Saccharomyces cerevisiae S288C: one gene and its partners. The gene in region 1 interacts genetically with each later gene. Each region holds a gene or a part of one and is shown in the gene's direction. Other genes may lie near its edges.

Region 1 (8,742 bases):
AACTTTACGAGCCCCCCCTCTAAAACAAGTGGTAACTACGATGTTTTGACTTCAAACTCAATAGATCCTTCTCTATTTACAACTACGAGTGAATATTCATCTACACAATTGTCGAGTTTAAATCGGGCCTCAAAAAGTGAAACAGTTAATTTCACTGCTTCTATTGCTTCCACACCATTTGGTACAGATTCGGCTACTTCTCTAATAGACCCCATTAGTTCAGTGGGTTCTACAGCATCTAGCTTTGTGGGAATTTCAACCGCCAATTTTAGTACACAAGGGAACTCGAACTATGTTCCTGAATCAACTGCAAGTGGAAGTTCACAATACCAGGACTGGTCAAGCTCTTCTCTTCCGCTGTCACAAACCACTTGGGTTGTCATCAACACAACTAATACACAAGGGTCTGTAACGTCAACCACATCCCCGGCTTATGTTTCTACGGCCACCAAAACGGTTGACGGGGTGATCACCGAATATGTTACATGGTGTCCTCTAACACAAACCAAATCACAAGCAATTGGGGTCAGTTCGTCCATTTCTAGCGTTCCACAAGCCTCCTCATTTAGCGGTAGTTCTATTTTGAGCTCCAATTCCAGCACTCTTGCTGCCTCGAACAACGTTCCTGAATCAACTGCAAGCGGAAGTTCACAATACCAGGACTGGTCAAGCTCTTCTCTTCCGCTGTCACAAACCACTTGGGTTGTCATCAACACAACTAATACACAAGGGTCTGTAACGTCAACCACATCCCCGGCTTATGTTTCTACGGCCACCAAAACGGTTGACGGGGTGATCACCGAATATGTTACATGGTGTCCTCTAACACAAACCAAATCACAAGCAATTGGGATCAGTTCATCCACGATTAGCGCCACACAAACCTCTAAACCATCTTCAATATTAACATTGGGGATATCGACCTTACAATTGTCTGATGCCACATTTAAGGGGACTGAAACTATAAACACCCATCTCATGACCGAAAGTACTTCAATCACAGAGCCCACCTATTTTAGTGGCACATCGGATAGTTTTTATTTGTGCACCAGTGAAGTTAATCTTGCGTCTTCCTTATCTTCTTATCCAAATTTTTCATCTTCAGAAGGCTCTACGGCGACCATTACTAACTCTACCGTTACATTTGGATCGACCAGCAAGTATCCATCTACTAGTGTATCTAACCCAACAGAAGCCAGCCAACATGTGAGCTCTAGTGTGAACTCACTCACTGATTTTACTTCAAATTCAACCGAAACCATCGCAGTTATATCTAATATTCACAAAACTTCGTCAAATAAAGACTATTCATTGACGACTACGCAATTAAAGACCAGCGGAATGCAAACGCTTGTGCTTTCTACTGTCACAACAACGGTGAACGGTGCTGCTACGGAATACACAACGTGGTGCCCGGCATCAAGTATTGCTTATACGACATCCATATCATATAAAACATTAGTTTTGACCACTGAAGTCTGCTCTCATTCTGAGTGTACTCCAACGGTTATTACCAGTGTTACTGCAACAAGCTCTACAATCCCCCTTTTATCAACCTCTAGCTCTACGGTATTATCTTCTACAGTATCCGAAGGTGCAAAAAATCCCGCTGCTTCTGAAGTAACTATTAATACCCAAGTTTCTGCTACTTCCGAAGCTACTAGTACTAGCACTCAAGTGTCTGCTACTTCTGCGACGGCCACTGCTAGCGAGAGTTCAACCACATCCCAGGTTTCTACTGCTTCCGAAACTATTAGCACTCTCGGTACTCAAAACTTTACCACTACTGGAAGCTTACTTTTCCCGGCTTTGTCTACTGAAATGATAAATACTACTGTGGTTTCCCGAAAAACCCTAATTATTAGTACAGAGGTATGTTCCCATTCCAAATGTGTCCCAACAGTCATTACCGAGGTTGTTACTTCGAAAGGCACGCCTTCTAATGGACATTCTTCTCAAACTCTACAAACGGAGGCAGTAGAGGTGACATTGTCATCCCATCAAACCGTAACTATGAGTACCGAAGTATGTTCTAATTCGATTTGCACACCGACTGTTATTACATCTGTGCAAATGAGAAGTACTCCTTTTCCATACTTAACTTCTTCAACGTCAAGTTCCTCTTTAGCCTCCACCAAAAAAAGTTCCTTAGAAGCCTCCTCAGAAATGTCCACCTTTTCTGTCAGTACGCAAAGTTTGCCTTTGGCATTCACAAGTTCAGAAAAACGCTCCACCACATCTGTCTCTCAATGGTCAAATACCGTTTTAACTAATACAATAATGTCCTCTTCTTCTAATGTCATATCAACAAATGAAAAGCCCAGTAGTACTACCTCTCCATACAACTTCTCTTCGGGGTACTCTTTACCTTCTTCTTCTACACCTTCCCAATATTCACTATCTACAGCTACTACAACAATCAACGGAATCAAAACTGTGTACACAACTTGGTGTCCATTGGCAGAAAAATCTACTGTAGCTGCTTCTTCTCAATCTTCCCGCAGTGTTGACAGGTTTGTTTCGTCGTCAAAACCATCCTCATCTTTATCTCAGACCTCTATTCAATATACATTATCTACTGCTACCACCACCATAAGTGGTTTGAAGACTGTATACACGACTTGGTGTCCATTAACAAGTAAATCGACTTTAGGTGCTACTACTCAAACTTCCTCGACAGCCAAAGTTAGAATTACTTCCGCTTCATCTGCAACATCTACTTCTATTTCTTTGAGCACTTCAACAGAATCAGAATCTTCATCTGGATATTTGTCGAAAGGAGTATGCTCAGGTACTGAATGTACGCAAGATGTGCCAACACAATCATCCTCACCTGCTTCAACGTTAGCATATTCCCCCTCTGTTTCTACATCATCATCATCATCATTCTCAACAACAACTGCATCAACACTAACGTCAACACACACCTCTGTCCCGTTATTACCATCATCTAGCTCTATATCAGCATCTTCGCCATCATCAACTTCGTTGTTATCCACTTCTTTACCATCTCCCGCTTTTACGTCATCAACACTTCCAACAGCAACAGCAGTATCTTCCTCCACTTTCATAGCGTCTTCTCTACCATTGTCCTCTAAATCATCATTGTCGTTATCGCCAGTCTCGTCGTCTATTTTGATGTCTCAGTTTTCATCATCATCATCATCATCATCATCATTGGCATCGTTGCCATCTCTTTCTATATCACCAACTGTTGACACTGTTTCTGTTCTACAACCAACTACTTCCATCGCAACACTAACTTGCACAGACTCACAATGCCAACAGGAGGTATCCACTATCTGTAATGGATCCAACTGTGACGATGTGACTTCAACTGCCACTACTCCTCCATCTACGGTTACTGATACTATGACATGTACTGGATCTGAGTGCCAGAAAACCACATCTAGCAGCTGTGATGGTTACTCGTGTAAAGTATCCGAAACGTATAAATCAAGCGCTACAATATCTGCATGTAGTGGAGAAGGATGCCAAGCTTCCGCTACAAGTGAGCTAAATTCTCAATACGTCACGATGACGTCTGTCATTACCCCAAGTGCCATAACAACAACATCAGTGGAAGTGCATTCAACTGAATCCACTATATCAATTACTACAGTGAAGCCAGTTACATATACATCCAGTGATACTAATGGAGAACTGATAACCATAACAAGTTCCAGCCAAACTGTAATTCCATCAGTAACGACGATAATAACGAGAACAAAAGTGGCCATAACTTCAGCACCAAAGCCAACAACTACGACCTATGTCGAGCAACGACTTTCCTCCAGTGGGATTGCTACTTCTTTTGTTGCTGCTGCATCCTCAACTTGGATTACTACACCCATTGTCAGTACGTATGCTGGTTCGGCGTCAAAATTTCTCTGTAGTAAGTTCTTTATGATAATGGTAATGGTGATCAACTTCATTTAATTTCCCGTATATATTATATGTACGTATATATGCTATAAACAGACACTCTTTTTACTTACCTTTAATAATGCTTGATGAGAAATCAGTCATTGTTACTTCTTCCCCAAGGTTGTCATCATAATCATACCATTCATTATCCTCTAGTTGGCATGACATTACTTTCCCCGAACTTAGAGAAACTTCAAACGTTATGGTGTCGGGATAAAATTTGATTAATTCACAACCTCTGCAATCAAGGCTTAAAGGAATGAAAGAATCTTCTTTGACCTTCGATAAACCATGCTTCTTCCGCACATCTTTTATCTTGGCCCATTTGTCGTCACTCTGATCAGTTAAATATTCATCCTCAAAAGCGCACAGGTTAACTGACAATTCTTTTGAACAAAATTTACACTTCATCAAGAAAGATGCGGTACCTTTTGATGCCGGCATAGCATATTCTTCAAATGTATTGATGATGACTTTAGAATCGTGTAATTCTCTACAACTGGTACATTGTAGATCGAAGGCAAATTCTGCCCTTGATTCGTTTGTATTCTCAATTGAAACCTTGGTCACGTTTTCTGATAATGTTGCTTTCAGAACCAAAAATAACGGCATTATCGTACACAACCTGGTTTTCTTTATTGGTTAAGTTGTCTTTATTCAAAATTTTTCATTACTTCTTATAAACAGCTTCTTGACGCTTGTAATTTCATAAGTTTTTGATACAAGCAATGGAAACAAAATTAAGAAAATGTAGGCAACGAAGAACTAAATTTGAAAAAAAAAAAAAAAAAAATTTACTGCCAAGATCATCTAAATTATCTTATAGTAGCAAAGCTTGAGCATAAAAGGATCAATCTTTTAGTTTTTTATGGCAAAGTACATTTGCAGTAAGTAATTAGTGATGAGATAAACAAAGAATAATAATCCAATTCGAAATCAAAAATTCAAACAACAAAAAACATAATTTCACATATATATCTAATTCATTCACGAAAAACACGTCAGTTCCTTCTGTCTGTTGTAAATAGGATGCATCCGCAGTGAATCATGGAAATATTTCAAAACTTTCAGCCCAATCATTTTATTTGGTCAATGAAGCCATAAACGCTCCGTAATTCTAAGATTAAAAAAAATTCATAAAAATAAGGACCAATATAAATATATATATTTAATGTGCTAGTGACAATCCTAGTGATAAAATTGCAAATTATACTACAATTGGTCATGGTGAAGCCTAAACACACCATTACGTCTTCACAGTGTTATTCATTTTATTTTCAAAGGTATGCTACTACTAATGCACCAGTGTATACCATGATACGGTGAAAAGGGCATGTAATATTGCGTTAATTTGTCGATAACCTTTCTTTACGTTTAAATTTTTTTTTTATAACTGGCGACACTAAACTTCTCGATAAAATACAACATAAAAAGCAGTACCTAGCTAAGCGAACAACAGATAATAAATAGCTAAACATCTAGGTTAATAGCCAATTAGCAATACATTTAAGGATTGATAGTGTGGTATTTACAAGGTAATAGCCCGCTAGGCTATAAGGAAACTACTCTAAATTCACCTTCCATATATGTGACTGCCAAGAAAATATTACTAGTTATCAAGCTTTTTTTGTGTGCATTCAACTTCAACGAATCCTTCGTCATCAATGAAACAAAAGAACAAGCCAGAACTGAAAAAAAAAAATCAAAACCACTAAGAATGTCACATCCTTCCAAAACTCCTGCTGGCTCTTCAACTCTTCAAAGAATATCAAGATAAATATCATTATCTCCAGTGTGGCCGACCCATGCATGAGTGCGAGGAGCATTAAGTTGGATCCTGGGAAAACATGTCAAGGACATTCAATAAAGTACTTTTCATACTACAACAGACGCTAGAAGAACTAGAATGTAACCGTGAACTGCCTCTCAAACACATAATTATGATAGCGCCGTCTTCGGCATCCTTTTTCGGAAATATACTTTCCTTTTTCCCTCTTTCAGCTATATTGTTCAAGGAGTAACATAAGACATAATAACCCCAGTTTTTTTAGAGAAAGTTCTTCTTCTTTAATTATAGTATGTTTGAAACGTACAAGAATTCATTGAGTGCCCTAAGGATTACTGCAAACAAGGTTCAACAGTGTTGGTACACATGACTCAGCAAGAATACCGTTCCCCCTCACAACGCTTATCCAAGGGGAGGAGCATGTCGCTACCCAAAATATTTGCTCGTAATTTGAGATCTCTGCAAAACAATGCACCTCCTGGCAAAAACATCAATGTCAATTGTTTGAACGTCAATTCTTGTTCGTTGTCCGCAAGCCCAAGCTCACAAATTAATATGGCTTGTAATGGAAACAAGCAAGATCTTCCCATACCGTTTCCCCTGCATGTAGAATGCAACGATAGCTGGTCAAGCTCCAAACTTAACAAGTTCAAATCAATGTTTAATCATAACAGATCAAAGAGCAGTGGTACTACAGATGCGTCAACTTCAGAAAAAGGTACGCATAAGCGTGAACCCCGGTCGACGATACATACAGAGCTGTTACAAAGTTCCATTATCGGTGAGCCAAATGTCCATAGTACTACAAGTAGCACACTTATACCCAATGAGGCGATATGCTCCACACCTAATGAGATCTCAGGTAGCTCTTCTCCGGACGCGGAGTTATTTACCTTTGACATGCCCACAGACCCGTCATCCTTCCACACTCCTAGCTCCCCAAGTTATATAGCAAAGGACAGTAGAAACCTGAGTAATGGATCTTTGAATGATATTAACGAAAATGAAGAGCTCCAAAATTTCCATAGAAAAATCAGCGAAAATGGCAGTGCCTCCCCCCTGGCTAACTTGTCATTATCCAATTCACCAATTGATTCCCCAAGGAAAAATAGCGAAACCAGAAAGGATCAAATACCTATGAACATAACACCACGTTTAAGGAGGGCCGCTTCCGAACCGTTCAATACGGCAAAGGATGGGTTAATGCGGGAAGATTACATTGCCTTGAAACAACCTCCAAGCTTGGGAGATATTGTAGAACCGAGGAGATCTCGTCGTTTAAGAACCAAGTCATTCGGTAACAAGTTCCAAGACATTACTGTCGAACCTCAATCCTTCGAAAAAATTAGACTACTTGGCCAAGGTGACGTAGGTAAAGTGTATTTAGTGAGGGAACGCGATACCAACCAGATATTCGCCCTGAAAGTTTTGAATAAACATGAGATGATCAAGAGGAAGAAAATTAAACGAGTACTCACTGAACAGGAAATTCTCGCGACAAGTGATCATCCATTTATTGTGACACTGTATCATTCCTTTCAAACCAAAGACTATTTGTATCTCTGTATGGAATACTGCATGGGAGGGGAATTCTTTAGAGCCTTACAAACAAGAAAAAGTAAATGCATTGCAGAAGAAGATGCGAAGTTTTACGCCAGTGAAGTAGTAGCAGCTTTGGAATATTTACACCTACTGGGCTTCATATACAGAGATTTGAAACCCGAAAACATATTACTGCATCAATCTGGTCATGTCATGCTTTCTGACTTTGATTTATCCATCCAAGCAACGGGATCAAAAAAACCCACCATGAAAGACTCTACGTATTTAGATACAAAAATTTGTTCAGATGGATTCAGAACTAATTCCTTTGTTGGTACTGAAGAGTATTTAGCTCCAGAAGTAATCAGAGGGAATGGCCACACTGCAGCAGTAGACTGGTGGACTTTAGGAATATTGATTTACGAGATGCTATTTGGCTGTACTCCATTTAAAGGAGATAATTCAAATGAAACATTCTCTAACATTTTAACCAAGGACGTCAAATTTCCACATGATAAGGAAGTTTCGAAGAATTGTAAAGACCTGATAAAGAAACTACTAAACAAAAACGAGGCAAAAAGGCTTGGTTCCAAATCAGGAGCTGCAGACATAAAGAGACATCCCTTCTTCAAAAAAGTTCAGTGGTCGTTCTTAAGAAACCAAGACCCCCCTCTAATACCTGCATTAAATGATAACGGCTGCGAACTTCCTTTTATATTGTCTTGCAATAAACACCCGAAAAGGAACTCAGTGAGTGAACAGGAAACCAAAATGTTCTGTGAGAAAGTTGCAAACGATGATGAAATTGATGAGGCTGATCCATTCCATGATTTTAATTCTATGAGTTTAACGAAGAAAGATCACAATATCTTAACCTACTCTGAAAATTATACCTACGGAAAAATTCTATACAAAGCAACTTGTACAAGGCCAAGGCATAACAGCTCACATAGAAGTTTCTTTAAAGACATCATACCTGAACTATAACATGTTTACAGAAAGATAAACCCATGGCCAAATTTCTGTATTGTTTCTCTCAATTTATCTTATGATAAAAATGTAAAAAATTATTTAAAAGTAAACAAATAAACAAAGGAACAATTCAAAAACGAGAAAGTGAATGAAAAATATAATATCATTTATTGTCTGATAATGCTGCATTTAGAACATACGTACCATCCGCATCAGTGGATATCCAATGATAGTAATTTCGCGAGTTTATCCGTTGCTGTTATATTATCACTTTTTAATATTCTTTTCAAAGAGCTGAATAATTTCAACGCGTCTTCGTTAATGGATTCCTTCCGCAATTCTTCTGAAATACTGAATGCCCGATTTATAATATCTTTGTCCAGGCGTGCCAATTTCGCCACATTCATCCCATAACTATTATAAGTCAATCCCTTTTTTAACTTATATAGAAAAATTACACTCATCCAGTCCTCGCCAGTTTTTTGTTCTTCCACGTAATCCATATGATAATTCCT
Region 2 (6,709 bases), on another chromosome or scaffold:
CCTCCGCTTCAAGAATCTGCGCCGTTTGAAGCTTAATCATGTTCACAAACAAGGTGATGGGAGTGCTACTTCTATGAGATTATCTTCACGCGCGTTTAAGGATGTAGTTAATTTATCCAATCTTAAAGCCCTTGAATTAGAATTTTCTTGTGAGGTGGACGACTGTGAATGTGATGATGACTTTCTTCAAGATATAACAGGAAACCTTGTTTCCTTAACAAGTCTGGGGTTCATTGAAAAGACATTCACCAAAAAAGGGTACCATTACATGGACGAGAAATGGGACTTGGTCGTTAATAAGTTTATTTTAAATTTACCAAACGTGAGTAAAGATTTGCGTTTGTTAAGCATACGACATGACCCACCTTTAAATGGCAAGGGCATTGATACTGTTGATGGGAACTTGCTTCGCCGTAAAAAACTTTATGAAAAGGTTTTACCAAAGCTAACTTCGTTGGAAACAATAATAGCTCCAACTGTATTGCAGTCCATCACCTCATATGAAATGTATGCGTGTGACCTTTTGTGGAACGGCTGCAAATGTGCGTTCTGCTCCAAATACTTACCATTATTTGATAAGTACATCATGAATCATCAATACTTTTCGACCCCGGATGCAAGATACTTGGATATTATACCGATAGTGTTTGCAGCATATACTGGAAAATCTCTAGCTAAGAGGTTTGATCCTCAGAAGAACTGGGATTTGGATTTACTACAGTATGCCCCTGAGGATACGACGTGGAATTTCCATGGCTTTGAGAGAATTCATCACTTTGCAAGTTATGAATGTTATTTTGACGAATCCTCATTTGAGCCCTTAGCCACTATTATATCGCATTTTTTTTATCCTTACATGAACTACTTGATAAAGATATTGCCAAACCTTCGCCAAACTATGTTGTCAGGAATATACTTTAGCGTGAGCCCAGAATTACACACTTATGAAACTATTTATGATTAAACTTGATAGTTGTGATAAACATTTCTTATGTACATTTGTTGAAGGAGTTCGTATATATACAGCCAGTTGAGTAATAATTATATTTTACTATTGCATTTCATAATTATTACCCGGACCTTACGAGTTCTTCGAATAATAACCATATATTTCAGAAAGGTAGGCATACCGAAGGAAGAGACAATGAAAAAACTGAAATGAACAAGCTTCTGTATACGATCCAAGGATCAGAAACGGTTGTTATTTATTGTTTGGACTTCTTGTTGTTAGGCTTTATTTACCGTGCATAATACTATCTGATACTTTGAGAAACCCCTCCCCCCACAGAAAGGTTCAAAATTTACAATTGCTGCACTAGGTCTACACTTTCCTCTAGATTTGTAACTTGAAGACCCCATTCCAATCGTTTAACCTGTCTTTCCTTTTATTATCGTTTTATTCTCTTCCTTTTTTATAAAATTCTATCTGGTATAGAGCATTTTTATGTTGATCATAACTTTTCATGTATTCTATTAATTACACCACAACTTTGATATCGTCAAATTTTTTATCACTACCTATTAAATTTAAACAATTGCTTACGAGAACTTAATGTTACAACGGAGATTTATATCCTCCAGTGGTATAAAGAGATTACTTCACAGAGAATCAAACAAGGTTATGCACACTGTTTTCTTTAAAGTACGATATTACTCAACTGAGTTGATCAAAAAAAAGCATAAGGAAGATATTGAGGATTGGGTTAAAGCGCAACTAAAAGATTCTTCAACAATAAGCGGTGTGTATGAGTCTCGGAATAAACTCGATTGGATGGACTCCATTACCAAAAGCCCCAGCAGCTTAGATATTCTTAAGAATCAATATAATATAGTGAAAGACAAAGATTTTGGAATATTGTGGAAGCAAAAATTCGAAAGTGCAGATCCAGATATTTTGATGACAATAATTAGCCTTTCCACTAACCAAAAGGTTTTGTTTTCAATACAGCAATTACTGATCTTAATAAATTCTCTTCACTTTTTGAAAAGGGACTACGATATTGGACAAATATACACAACATATGAGCAATTCACGCCCTTATTAGCAAGCCACACTGATAAAGGCACATATGGTCAGTTCATCGAAATTATGTTGGTAGTACAGCATAATTTACATCATTTTGATGTCTGTGAAACTTTATTTGCAGAATATATCAAATATTGCAAAGTAAAGCCACAAATGATATCTTTAGGATTAAACTCTTTCATAAGGAGTAATAACACTCAACTAGCGGTGGAATTTTACACGCAAGCAATTACCAATCCTGATACATTTCCAATAACTGAAAAGCAGCTTTTTGAGTTTCTCCGATGTATGGAAAGATATCTAGATATGTCCAGTATGAAACACATCTTTTATCTCTGGTTGAAAGTGAAATGTGGTGATGAGCAATCCTCTTCAACTAACCTTCCCTCGTTCAAAACCCTCGCGATAATACACAGAATGTTATTACGTTTTTCTAATACAGATGAGCTAAACGATTTTTTAACCAATCCCGTTGTTTTAAGTACGGGATATACATCAAGTGTGCAGTTTGAGTTGATTGAATTTTGTCATTCTCTGTATTGCATCAAAGGAGACAGAACAAAAAGCATTGATGACTCAATATTGATGGAAAGAGTTGATAAATTTATTACCAGACTTAATAATAATATTTCAACACGAAAAGAGCTATATATGTCAGTGGTTCAAGCGTACGTCTCTACTAACAATTTCGAGAATTTAAAAGTAATCTTGGAAAAAATCCAGAGAGATAATGATATTAGCATAGACGGTTCGTTTCATTTGTGCATTTCTAGGTATTTTGTCAACACCAATCAATTCGAAGGACTTTTCAAATATTATCGCAGTGTAGTTAAAACCACTGATGGTAAAACGCGATTACGGCCCGCATTTATTCAACAATTATGGTCATGTGCCGTAAATGTTTATCCAATGCTGGCAAAAGAAATTACAAATGACCTACTTGTGACTCTAAAAAGGAGCCAATACAGCAAATGTCTCACTTGGGTGTACACATTTTTACAAGAAAATGCCCATATCCATACGAGAAAGATCAATGGAGGAGAAGACTCTTCGTTATCTGGTTTCAACGCGGTTGATTTTGAAAGGTTTGAAGAGTTCAAGAAAAAAGTTTCTCACAATGATGTATATGGAGCAGAATTGGTGATTTCGAATAGTTTGAAGGAGGGCATTGCGCCTCAATTTTCATTTTTGTATTCCGTTTTGGCATTATGCTTGAGAAACTCTTTAACTGGTTTGGCACGTGTAGTTGATGTGATATTAAGGACCAGATTCCGCTATATCCCACTAAAAGTCGATATATTATGGTTGAAATGGGAGATCATTTCTAATTATAGATCTTTTGAAAAGTTGTCTGCTGAACATTTAAAAGAACTGGAATTCAAACTGAAGGAATTTGAACGAGTACATCAAAAGGAGCTTTCAGTTCAAAACTATTTACAACTTACTCAAATATGTTTCCACACCCGTGATTTCAAATATGCATGTTACCTAATTTCACAAGCTAGAAAAAATTTGGATACTTCAAATAACAAACAGTGGATGATGTATTACATGACATCTTTAAAGTTGGCGTCAAGAATGCATGAAAGCGAACGGTTTAGTAGGATTTTAAAAGACTGGAATTGTAATCATAGGGCAAGCCTGATTACTCCAGGTTGCATTAGACAAATCAAAGGCTTTATGAAATATTTTGAGAAAAGGCCTGCTTACATTTCAACTGCTGCTTCCATTGATAACAAGGAGATAAAGGATCGCATTGACGAGTTAGTACTTAGATATGTGGACTATAAATACCAGGGGCTTGAGAATATGAGAAAGTTAACACTTTTCTTAAAAGAATGGTTTGATGAAGAGATTTCACTATTAAAGTTGGAGCAAAATGAAAGGAAAATGAAGCTTTTTGAAGAGAATAAAAAGGAGGAGGAGTAATCTTTTCAGTTATTTACCTTCCTTTCTCTCACGTGTAAATATTTGTGTGTCATACACACCGCTAAAAACCTTTGCATCAACTTATACCCTACATTTCTATAGACGCTATTTGGAAACAAGATGTAACCCTTTTTTTCTTTTAGTTTTGAGATTTGTACTCGTAAAGAGTACGTTTATTTATTTATTCAAATTTTATTCTTCATACCATGTAAATATAAGCGCATATAATCACTACGATCTTAGTACAGCTAGAATTGCTGACGCTTACAATTGCTTTATTGTTTGATTATATGCACGTATACATATAGTGTCAGCAAAAAAAAAAAAAGGCAGTACTTGATTGGCTACGCCGCGCATCGTCCGAGAAATCCGGCCTGGTAGGGGCAGGTTTGAAAAGGCGGATAGAAATAAAAGATGATATTATTTATTCATCCCATGAATAGTAGAACTCGATATAAGATTCTAAACCAACAAGTACAGAAAGCAAAACAATAATAAATAATGGCTAATAAAGTTATTCAACTACAGAAAATCTTCCAATCTTCCACTAAACCTCTATGGTGGAGACATCCAAGGTCAGCTTTATACCTGTATCCATTTTATGCTATTTTTGCGGTAGCCGTCGTTACACCACTTCTATACATTCCAAATGCTATTAGAGGTATCAAAGCCAAGAAGGCATAGTTAGGTAAAAATAACATCCGTTCATAGCATCTTTATAATTGTTCTTTGATATTAAGTGTGTATGCTCAATACACATCACCCAAAACATTTTTATTCGAAATAAGATGAAAGCCATTTATTTATATATACATATATAATATTCTAAAGAATAAGGAAACAACTAATCGAACTAGCATAGCCTTTTCCATCTTTGTTTTCTTGCGCAGTAATAAATCGTTTCAGTTAGGCCTGGCAATAAAGATTTGCTAATCATTGAAAAAGGTGTGATTGATTTTCTCACTTGAAGTATGTCTAGTATTTATTAAACAATTATAATGGTGTAAACTAATGTCTCTTCAAGCAAAACGTGCTTAAAAGTGTCCATGTGATGGGAGGGATCATATTTTCAAAGAGGTCTTCAAACGTTGAAGGATAAGCTCCTCTTCATCATCGTCAACCCAGTTGGAGCTCCCTTCATCGTTCAGAAAATCCATCAACACTTGTTGCTGTTGATTCTTGTGATGAGTCTTTTGCAATATTTCCCTCTGCTCTTCAATTTTCTTTTTTAATAACTTCATCTTAGAAGCGGTATCCTGTTTGGATTGTGTTTTGGTAGTTTTCATCTTGCTAGGTGAAACTGGTGGAGGAGATATCTCTGTTGCTTTTTGGGAGAAAGGATTTATCGCCAATGATTCACTTACAGGCGATATTTTGCCCTGACTATGAGGCGGCTTCTTTTCTCTGGGAAGAGTTTCCTTTATTTTATTTTTCGTTTTACTTTCGTGGTTACCTTTGTTATTCTTCACTTTGTTTACAGAATCTTTTTTCTTATTGTTTGAACTTGATTCATTACTCCACCTGCTATTATTATTCTTTTTATTGTTATTACTCCGCTTGTGACTTGGTTTCTGCTTCTTTATTGGTTCTTCGTCAGGGGCATCGGCCCATATAGATTCTAAAGGCATGATAAATAGTAAAAATGATATTGAAGGTATTCTCCTATCAAAAATAGCTTCTCACCCCGCTGTTAGAGACTAGCTCAATGGTGCCACTGATATTGCTTATCTTACTTTTTTCTAAATTTTCAACATTTCTGCGCCCTGTAAATCACGTGCTCGTTACAAAATACACTGCCATAGTAAATACAAAATGGCAAACAACGCCCAGCATCATTGATGTTACATATACTATGCACGTTTTTTATATGACGATAATACTTATTTTGGTCAGGAAGCAAATGCAGTCCATACATGCGTTTCTGGGTAGTTTATGCTTACCCTCCCACGTGCTAGATTTTTCGATTGTAAGAGATATTTTATCATGGTATTTCCTTGAGACAGTCGCAGTATGACACGATATGTACAAAAGCATAAGTGACGGGATGATTACAGAAAGCTTGTTCTATTACTTCATTAACTCGCGCAAGCCAGCAAGTCTGCCGACACATCGATATATTGACATATATTTACTTGACGTAGAGACCCCAGATACCGTCATGAGGCATTTTCCTAACTAGGAAATGCACCTTAATTTGGTAAAAAGATACCGGCTAACGGTAAGGGATAGGGCTCCTAAGGGCCCTTCCAAAGATCGCAGAATGGTGCGAATGGTAGTTGGATATTTTGGACAAAGATGTGGAATTGGAAAGCGAGATGTTCTTTGATCTACTTTAGAATTTTTCTTATTTCAGTAAAATTCCTTTTTTTTCCTTCTTAAGTTTTCGTAGGCATGAATTTGTTGTTGCTGTGGTGAAGAAAATAGATAGAGATAAGAAAATGAATCCATCAGTACCGAAGGTTATGAAAAGAGAAAACAATACACACCTACTAGTTTCTAAAGAAATGAATGATACGAGTTTGCAACTACCGTCTACTACGAGATCACTTTCACCGAAAGAGTCAAACAGCAATGAAGACTTTAACGTCGATGGCAACGAAACAACGCTGCAAAGAATAAGTAAAGATTATTTGAAACCAAATATTGGGCTTGTTCTCTTGACAGTATCATATTTCTTCAACTCGGCCATGGTGGTGTCTACTAAAGTCTTAGAAAACGACCCCGATGATATTGCCAATGATAGACAGATCAAGC
Region 3 (7,937 bases), on another chromosome or scaffold:
CTACGATGGTTACTCTCTATCATCATCTACCTCATCAAAAAATGCGGCTCTTAGAGAAATTTTAGGTGACATGTGCAGCGAGTGGGGAGGTGAAGAACGACTAGAAGGTGTTCTACATTCAGAAATAGGTGCCAATTTAGAGTTCAACACGACAGAAGAGAGAAAAGAGTGGTTACAATATATCGAAAAGGTAAAAGATTTCTATTACGGTGATAATAAGAAGAACCCAGAATCACCCGAATCAGTACACAACAAAGTTTACAAGTCAGATTGGGTAAATGAGCTCAATAAAGAGAGAGAAAAGTGGCGGAGGTTAAAGCAAAGGAAGTTACAACAGTGGAGACCTCCTTTGACGTCGCTATTACTTGATAATCAATATTTGATTTTGGGTTTGAGGATTTTCACTGGTATATTATCGTGCATTTCACTTGCTCTGGCAATCAAGATTTTTCAAAACTCAAGATCAAATAACACCATCAGTGAAAGTAAAATCGGGCAACAACCAAGCACCATAATGGCCATCTGCGTCAACGCCGTGGCGATTGCGTATATTATTTACATTGCACACGATGAATTTGCTGGTAAACCTGTTGGTTTGAGGAATCCGTTAAGCAAACTGAAACTAATTTTGTTGGACTTACTTTTTATAATTTTTTCAAGCGCTAATCTAGCGCTGGCATTTAATACTCGTTTCGACAAAGAGTGGGTTTGCACTTCTATTCGCAGGTCAAATGGAAGCACGTATGGATACCCAAAAATACCGCGTATCTGCAGAAAACAGGAAGCTTTATCCGCTTTTCTGTTCGTTGCCTTGTTTATGTGGGTAATCACTTTCTCGATCAGTATTGTTAGAGTAGTCGAAAAAGTCAGTTCAATTACCAACAGAAACTGAGCTCGACAAATATAGAAATTAAAAGAATTCTTTTAGATACCAAGATTGACATTTATATGCATTGTATATTTTTGACTTAAAAAATTACTCCGGCTTGGCATTTATTCATTAACGGCGGGTTTGATTATATTAGGCTTTGTGCGATATAATATGTATTACCCGAAGGGAGGGCTATTGCACTTTCTTTTCCTTTCCGTTTTAAGGGCCCTTTTTCATTTCGATGTTTGATGGACACACATGAAGTGAAATGTGGCAAATAGAACATCTAGAAAAACTAGGGCATTAGGTAAAGTACCCCAGCAGAACTTCACTTTACAACGCAATTGATTCATATCACTGCTCTTTTATATTGTCCTTTTTCTCTTTTAGAGCTTTTCATCCGCATCTTCTAACTTCTGTGCACCCCTTTCATTGTTGATTACATTTTACCTCAGTTACACATTTCTTTTAGCAATTCGACATTGCTTCTACTTACCGATAAATAAGCGTACATTTTTGAGTCTTGAAAGGATTCTTACATATACCTAAACAAAGAATAACAACAAAATCGCAAGCAGCAAAGCATGTCTGAGACTCTGCCTAGATCTGATGATTTAGAGGCCACTTGGAACTTTATAGAGCCAGGAATTAACCAAATACTGGGTAATGAGAAAAACCAAGCATCCACGTCTAAGCGAGTTTACAAAATTCTTTCTCCAACCATGTATATGGAAGTCTATACCGCAATTTATAACTACTGTGTGAACAAATCACGCTCGTCTGGACATTTTAGTACTGACAGTAGAACTGGCCAATCAACAATTTTGGTTGGCAGTGAGATTTACGAAAAGTTAAAGAATTATTTGAAGAATTACATTTTAAATTTTAAGCAGTCTAATTCAGAGACCTTTTTGCAGTTTTACGTCAAGCGCTGGAAAAGGTTTACAATAGGTGCCATTTTTTTAAACCATGCATTCGATTATATGAATAGATATTGGGTTCAAAAGGAAAGAAGTGACGGCAAAAGGCATATTTTTGATGTAAACACCTTGTGCTTGATGACATGGAAAGAAGTCATGTTTGATCCGAGTAAAGATGTTTTAATAAACGAATTATTAGACCAGGTAACCTTGGGAAGGGAGGGGCAAATAATTCAAAGAAGTAATATTAGCACTGCCATAAAGTCTTTAGTTGCACTAGGTATCGATCCACAGGATTTGAAAAAGTTGAACCTAAATGTCTACATCCAAGTTTTCGAAAAGCCATTTTTAAAGAAGACTCAGGAGTACTACACGCAATATACAAACGATTATTTAGAGAAACACTCGGTAACTGAGTATATTTTTGAAGCACATGAAATCATCAAACGTGAGGAAAAAGCAATGACAATATATTGGGATGATCATACAAAAAAACCACTATCCATGGCATTAAACAAGGTCTTGATCACAGACCATATTGAAAAGTTGGAAAATGAGTTTGTTGTCCTTCTGGATGCCAGAGATATTGAAAAAATTACTTCTTTGTACGCACTAATACGCAGAGACTTTACATTAATCCCAAGAATGGCTTCAGTGTTTGAAAATTATGTTAAAAAGACAGGTGAGAATGAAATTTCGAGTCTACTGGCAATGCATAAACACAATATTATGAAAAACGAAAACGCAAACCCTAAAAAACTAGCACTAATGACAGCTCACTCCCTTTCTCCTAAAGACTATATCAAGAAATTACTGGAAGTACACGATATATTCTCTAAGATTTTTAATGAAAGTTTCCCCGACGACATACCTTTAGCTAAAGCTCTAGATAATGCGTGTGGTGCTTTCATCAACATCAACGAGTTCGCATTACCTGCTGGATCTCCAAAAAGTGCCACCTCGAAGACTTCCGAGATGCTAGCTAAGTACAGTGATATACTATTAAAGAAGGCCACCAAACCTGAAGTGGCAAGTGACATGTCAGATGAAGATATTATAACAATATTCAAATATTTGACCGACAAAGATGCGTTCGAAACTCATTATAGAAGACTTTTCGCCAAGCGTTTAATTCATGGCACTTCAACATCAGCAGAAGACGAAGAAAATATTATTCAAAGGCTGCAAGCGGCAAATAGTATGGAATATACAGGCAAGATAACTAAAATGTTTCAAGATATTAGACTTTCCAAGATCTTGGAAGACGATTTTGCTGTCGCCCTGAAGAATGAACCAGATTACTCTAAAGCAAAATATCCAGATCTACAACCATTTGTATTGGCAGAAAATATGTGGCCATTTTCATACCAAGAAGTTGAATTTAAGCTACCCAAGGAATTGGTACCATCTCACGAAAAATTGAAGGAGTCATACAGCCAAAAGCATAATGGTAGAATATTGAAGTGGCTATGGCCATTATGTCGTGGCGAATTGAAGGCAGATATTGGAAAACCCGGCAGGATGCCGTTCAACTTTACGGTAACACTGTTTCAAATGGCAATTTTGCTACTATATAACGATGCTGATGTATTAACCTTAGAAAATATTCAAGAGGGCACGAGCTTAACCATTCAGCACATCGCAGCGGCAATGGTACCATTCATCAAATTCAAACTGATTCAACAGGTCCCACCAGGGCTAGATGCTCTCGTGAAACCTGAAACACAATTCAAGCTATCACGTCCTTATAAGGCGCTTAAGACCAATATTAATTTCGCTAGCGGAGTCAAAAACGACATTCTGCAATCGCTATCCGGTGGAGGCCACGATAATCACGGTAATAAGTTAGGAAACAAACGCTTGACGGAAGACGAAAGAATAGAAAAAGAATTGAATACAGAAAGGCAGATTTTCTTGGAAGCTTGTATTGTGAGAATAATGAAAGCGAAAAGAAATCTGCCACATACAACATTGGTCAACGAATGCATTGCGCAATCACACCAAAGGTTCAATGCAAAGGTTTCTATGGTCAAGAGAGCCATCGATAGCTTAATACAAAAGGGATACCTACAGAGGGGAGACGATGGTGAATCGTATGCTTACCTTGCTTAATCATCTTTGAAGGCTTGTGCTGATCGAACGAAGCAAATCCTACGAGTAAATACATAAGCGTATACATATATATATATATATATATATATATATATATATGTATATATATATATGTGTGTGTGTGTAATTGTGTGTATTCAACTGAACTATGAAGAGTCTTTGACCTCTTGAGAATCTCATAGTATGAAGATATGGCACTTCTCTTTCCGTTGTAACATCCTTTACCGGGCGGCTTTTCGGCCTGCTTGAGAAGAGATCAGGCTGAAATGATGAGACTGACAACAAGGATCAGTCAGTGGCAGAGTTGAAATTCCGCTGGAAATCGTCACCAGCAGCTACCAGCTCCAAGAAATCCGCGTAGAAATCACGTCGCGCAATGTGCGATAGTGGTGGAACAGCGAAAATTAGTCACTTTGCAAAGATGCCAAGCTGATCGTTCTCGTTGTGTGTGATTCTACGATATTGCGCATGAGTGGTGTTGAGCATGCGTTTGTTCGCATTTTCATGCAGTCTCTTATATACTAATATATATATGCAACAGATTTCAAAATTTATCTTTCTTCTTGTTGCGTTTAGGCCTTTATTTGCTACACATTTAAAAGTGCAACGACAACCCAAGTAATTGTATACTTTAACAAACCATGTCTGAAAATAACGAATTCCAGAGTGTCACCGAATCGACGACTGCTCCAACCACTAGTAACCCATATGGCCCAAATCCTGCGGATTATCTATCCAATGTTAAGAATTTCCAGTTGATTGATTCAACACTAAGAGAGGGTGAACAATTTGCCAACGCATTCTTCGATACTGAAAAAAAGATTGAAATTGCTAGAGCCTTGGATGATTTCGGTGTGGACTACATCGAGTTAACCTCTCCCGTAGCATCCGAACAATCAAGAAAGGACTGTGAAGCTATATGTAAACTAGGTTTAAAGGCCAAGATCCTTACACACATTCGTTGTCACATGGACGATGCCAGAGTCGCCGTAGAGACTGGTGTCGACGGTGTCGATGTTGTTATCGGCACCTCCAAATTTTTAAGACAATATTCCCACGGTAAGGATATGAACTACATCGCCAAGAGTGCTGTTGAAGTCATTGAATTTGTCAAATCCAAAGGTATTGAAATCAGATTTTCCTCTGAAGATTCCTTCAGAAGTGATCTCGTTGATCTTTTGAACATTTATAAAACCGTTGACAAGATCGGTGTAAATAGAGTCGGTATTGCCGACACAGTTGGATGTGCCAACCCAAGACAAGTATATGAACTGATCAGAACTTTGAAGAGTGTTGTCTCATGTGACATCGAATGCCATTTCCACAATGATACCGGTTGTGCCATTGCAAACGCCTACACTGCTTTGGAAGGTGGTGCCAGATTGATTGACGTCAGTGTACTGGGTATTGGTGAAAGAAACGGTATCACTCCTCTAGGTGGGCTCATGGCAAGAATGATTGTTGCCGCACCAGACTATGTCAGATCTAAATACAAGCTGCACAAGATCAGAGACATCGAAAACCTGGTCGCTGATGCTGTGGAAGTTAACATTCCATTCAACAACCCTATCACCGGGTTCTGTGCATTCACACATAAAGCAGGTATCCATGCCAAGGCCATTTTGGCTAACCCATCTACCTACGAAATCTTGGACCCTCACGATTTCGGTATGAAGAGATATATCCACTTCGCCAACAGACTAACTGGTTGGAATGCAATCAAATCAAGAGTCGACCAATTGAACTTGAATTTGACGGATGATCAAATCAAGGAAGTTACTGCTAAGATTAAGAAGCTGGGTGATGTCAGACCGCTAAATATTGATGATGTAGACTCCATTATCAAGGACTTCCATGCAGAATTGAGCACCCCACTTTTAAAACCAGTAAATAAGGGTACAGATGACGACAATATCGATATTTCCAATGGGCATGTTTCTAAAAAGGCAAAGGTCACCAAATAGTTTCATTATATATATAGTACACATATTTCAAACATACACATACTGGGCGTTATTAGGTGTTTAAGTACTGGCGATTACCGTAATAAAATTACTATTTACGTCAACTTTATTCAATAAGCTTTTTCTCCTACTCCGATGTTCAATTGAGGCGGTTGCATCTAGCTTGAAGACGGGGTATTTTAATCAATTAATTGAGATCAATGAATATTGACTCTGTGCGATTCCCCACGCTATTATACTCTCACGGAGTATTTCCGTTATGATAATGATCACTATATACGTCAAATGATCGGTTTCTATTTGCTAACTATTTCAAGCATCATTATTATCTTTTAGGGGGCGGCTGGGGAATTATTTATTATATTTAGTTCAGTCGTTCATAAGAAAATTGAGCTCTCCATTGTAGATATTAAGAAGCACTTTCACCCAGTCATCCAACCAAACACGCTATCAATATGTTAAACCGTTGCATTTCCCGTAATACCAGGCTGCCAGTAAACCTAAGAATTGCCTCTCGCTTTTATTCAGATGGTCCTCTCGGTGGTGCCGGACCTGGTAATCCTCAAGATATCTTTATCAAGAGAGAACGTGCCAAAGAGGATTATTATGCCAGACAACAAGAGAGGGAACAATTAGCACATGTGAAGGAACAACTAAAAGAACACAAGAAAAAATTAGAGAATTTAGAAAACAAAATTAATAACCTTTCAAAGTGATTGGTCATTGTTAAGGCTAAAGGTTCTGCAGACACGTTTTGTACGTAGAAAGAAGCAATCATGCCAAATCAAAATTAGGAAATGAACATCAGTGGTATTTTATAAGCCTGCACATTATATATAGTATATACGTCACGAATACAGGAACACCGTCAGTTAGAGAAACGTCGCCTCAGTTTGCTCCTCAGATATTCCTTTAAACCCATACATATCTTACACAAAACATCCGTACATCAGAAGGATTATATGAAACGCAAAAAAAAATAAAATTTTCATTTCTGCGTGTCGCGCGAAGGAGAAATCTTAGAATTGAAACTTCCGGCTAACGGTTGCTAAAACTAGTTTCCAATGTAATACCAAATAAGCATTTGATGTTGAATCTGTAAGCCCCTTCGTGATATTTCAAGGTTAAATTACGAATTGCAGTTTCAGTTAATCTTGGACTAACAAAGAAATCAAACAACTAAGAAGAAAATGTCTGACTCTATTATTTCCTTTGCTGCTTTCATCCTAGCTGATGCTGGTTTGGAAATCACCTCTGACAACTTATTGACTATCACCAAGGCCGCTGGTGCTAATGTCGACAACGTATGTACAAAAATGCAACCTAAAACGACTTTGTGTGACTACGAAGAGAAAGATTAGACAACAATCGTCCCGAGAAATGCGCAATTTTGAATAATGGGGGACAGAAAAATTCCATGTAACGTTTCCCTCTAACATGATGAGATACTAGGGGGCAATACATGTAGAAATATTTCTCCATTAACGTATTTAACGGAAAGCACAAGTCAGGATCGAATTACTTCTTCAAGGATCTCATTTTACTAACAAACTCAACGAATAACGACTCTTCCTATGGAGCTTGTTATATGTATCATTGAATTAGGTCTGGGCTGATGTTTACGCTAAGGCTTTGGAAGGTAAGGACTTGAAGGAAATCCTATCTGGTTTCCATAACGCTGGCCCTGTTGCTGGTGCTGGTGCTGCTTCTGGCGCTGCCGCTGCTGGTGGTGACGCTGCTGCTGAAGAAGAAAAAGAAGAAGAAGCTGCTGAAGAATCTGACGACGACATGGGTTTCGGTTTATTCGACTAAACATACAAGGAAAGTCATTTTTTCTGCAACGTTTTTTTACCCTTTATGTATATATATTTACATATAAAATAAACCTCTAATCAATCAGTATTTAAAAATCGGAAGTAATGTCCATACGAAAGGGCTACGAGAATTTAACCATCTCGTTCTTTGCTAGAAATGGCACTGCGGGATAGCCCCTGGTTGCGGGATATCAGACCTGTCGTCACCATAGCAACCAAAAATTACATAAACCCATGGTTGCTCGCCCTTTGATGG

Evidence for each region. A genetic interaction does not mean that the proteins touch.
Region 2: mutations in KIN82 (region 1) and COX7 together harm fitness more than expected from each alone (negative genetic interaction), as found in Saccharomyces cerevisiae (3 studies listed by BioGRID).
Region 3: mutations in KIN82 (region 1) and LYS21 together harm fitness more than expected from each alone (negative genetic interaction), as found in Saccharomyces cerevisiae (3 studies listed by BioGRID).

What each region holds. Positions count from the first base shown.
Region 1 is NC_001135.5:268,325-277,066, forward strand, and holds KIN82 (putative serine/threonine protein kinase KIN82), read left to right. Parts: upstream 1-6,079; coding exon 6,080-8,242; downstream 8,243-8,742. Other genes in the region: FIG2 (Fig2p), read left to right, coding at 1-3,939; YCR090C (uncharacterized protein), read right to left, coding at 3,991-4,539; mismatch repair protein MSH3, read right to left, coding at 8,440-8,742. UniProt on the Saccharomyces cerevisiae protein: Flippase activator that phosphorylates DFN1 and DFN2 and which is involved in the generation of phospholipid asymmetry in membranes by the inward translocation of phospholipids.
Region 2 is NC_001145.3:776,875-783,583, reverse strand, and holds COX7 (cytochrome c oxidase subunit VII), read left to right. Parts: upstream 1-4,456; coding exon 4,457-4,639; downstream 4,640-6,709. Other genes in the region: ROY1 (Roy1p), read left to right, coding at 1-964; PET111 (Pet111p), read left to right, coding at 1,553-3,955; GFD1 (Gfd1p), read right to left, coding at 5,017-5,583; YMR254C (uncharacterized protein), read left to right, coding at 5,661-5,969; YMR253C (uncharacterized protein), read left to right, coding at 6,394-6,709. UniProt on the Saccharomyces cerevisiae protein: Component of the cytochrome c oxidase, the last enzyme in the mitochondrial electron transport chain which drives oxidative phosphorylation.
Region 3 is NC_001136.10:222,849-230,785, forward strand, and holds LYS21 (homocitrate synthase LYS21), read left to right. Parts: upstream 1-4,544; coding exon 4,545-5,867; downstream 5,868-7,937. Other genes in the region: SRF1 (phospholipase D regulator), read left to right, coding at 1-892; cullin CDC53, read left to right, coding at 1,456-3,903; STF1 (ATPase-binding protein), read left to right, coding at 6,323-6,583; ribosomal protein P1 RPP1B, read left to right, coding at 7,058-7,171, 7,473-7,679. UniProt on the Saccharomyces cerevisiae protein: Catalyzes the aldol-type condensation of 2-oxoglutarate with acetyl-CoA to yield homocitrate. Carries out the first step of the alpha-aminoadipate (AAA) lysine biosynthesis pathway.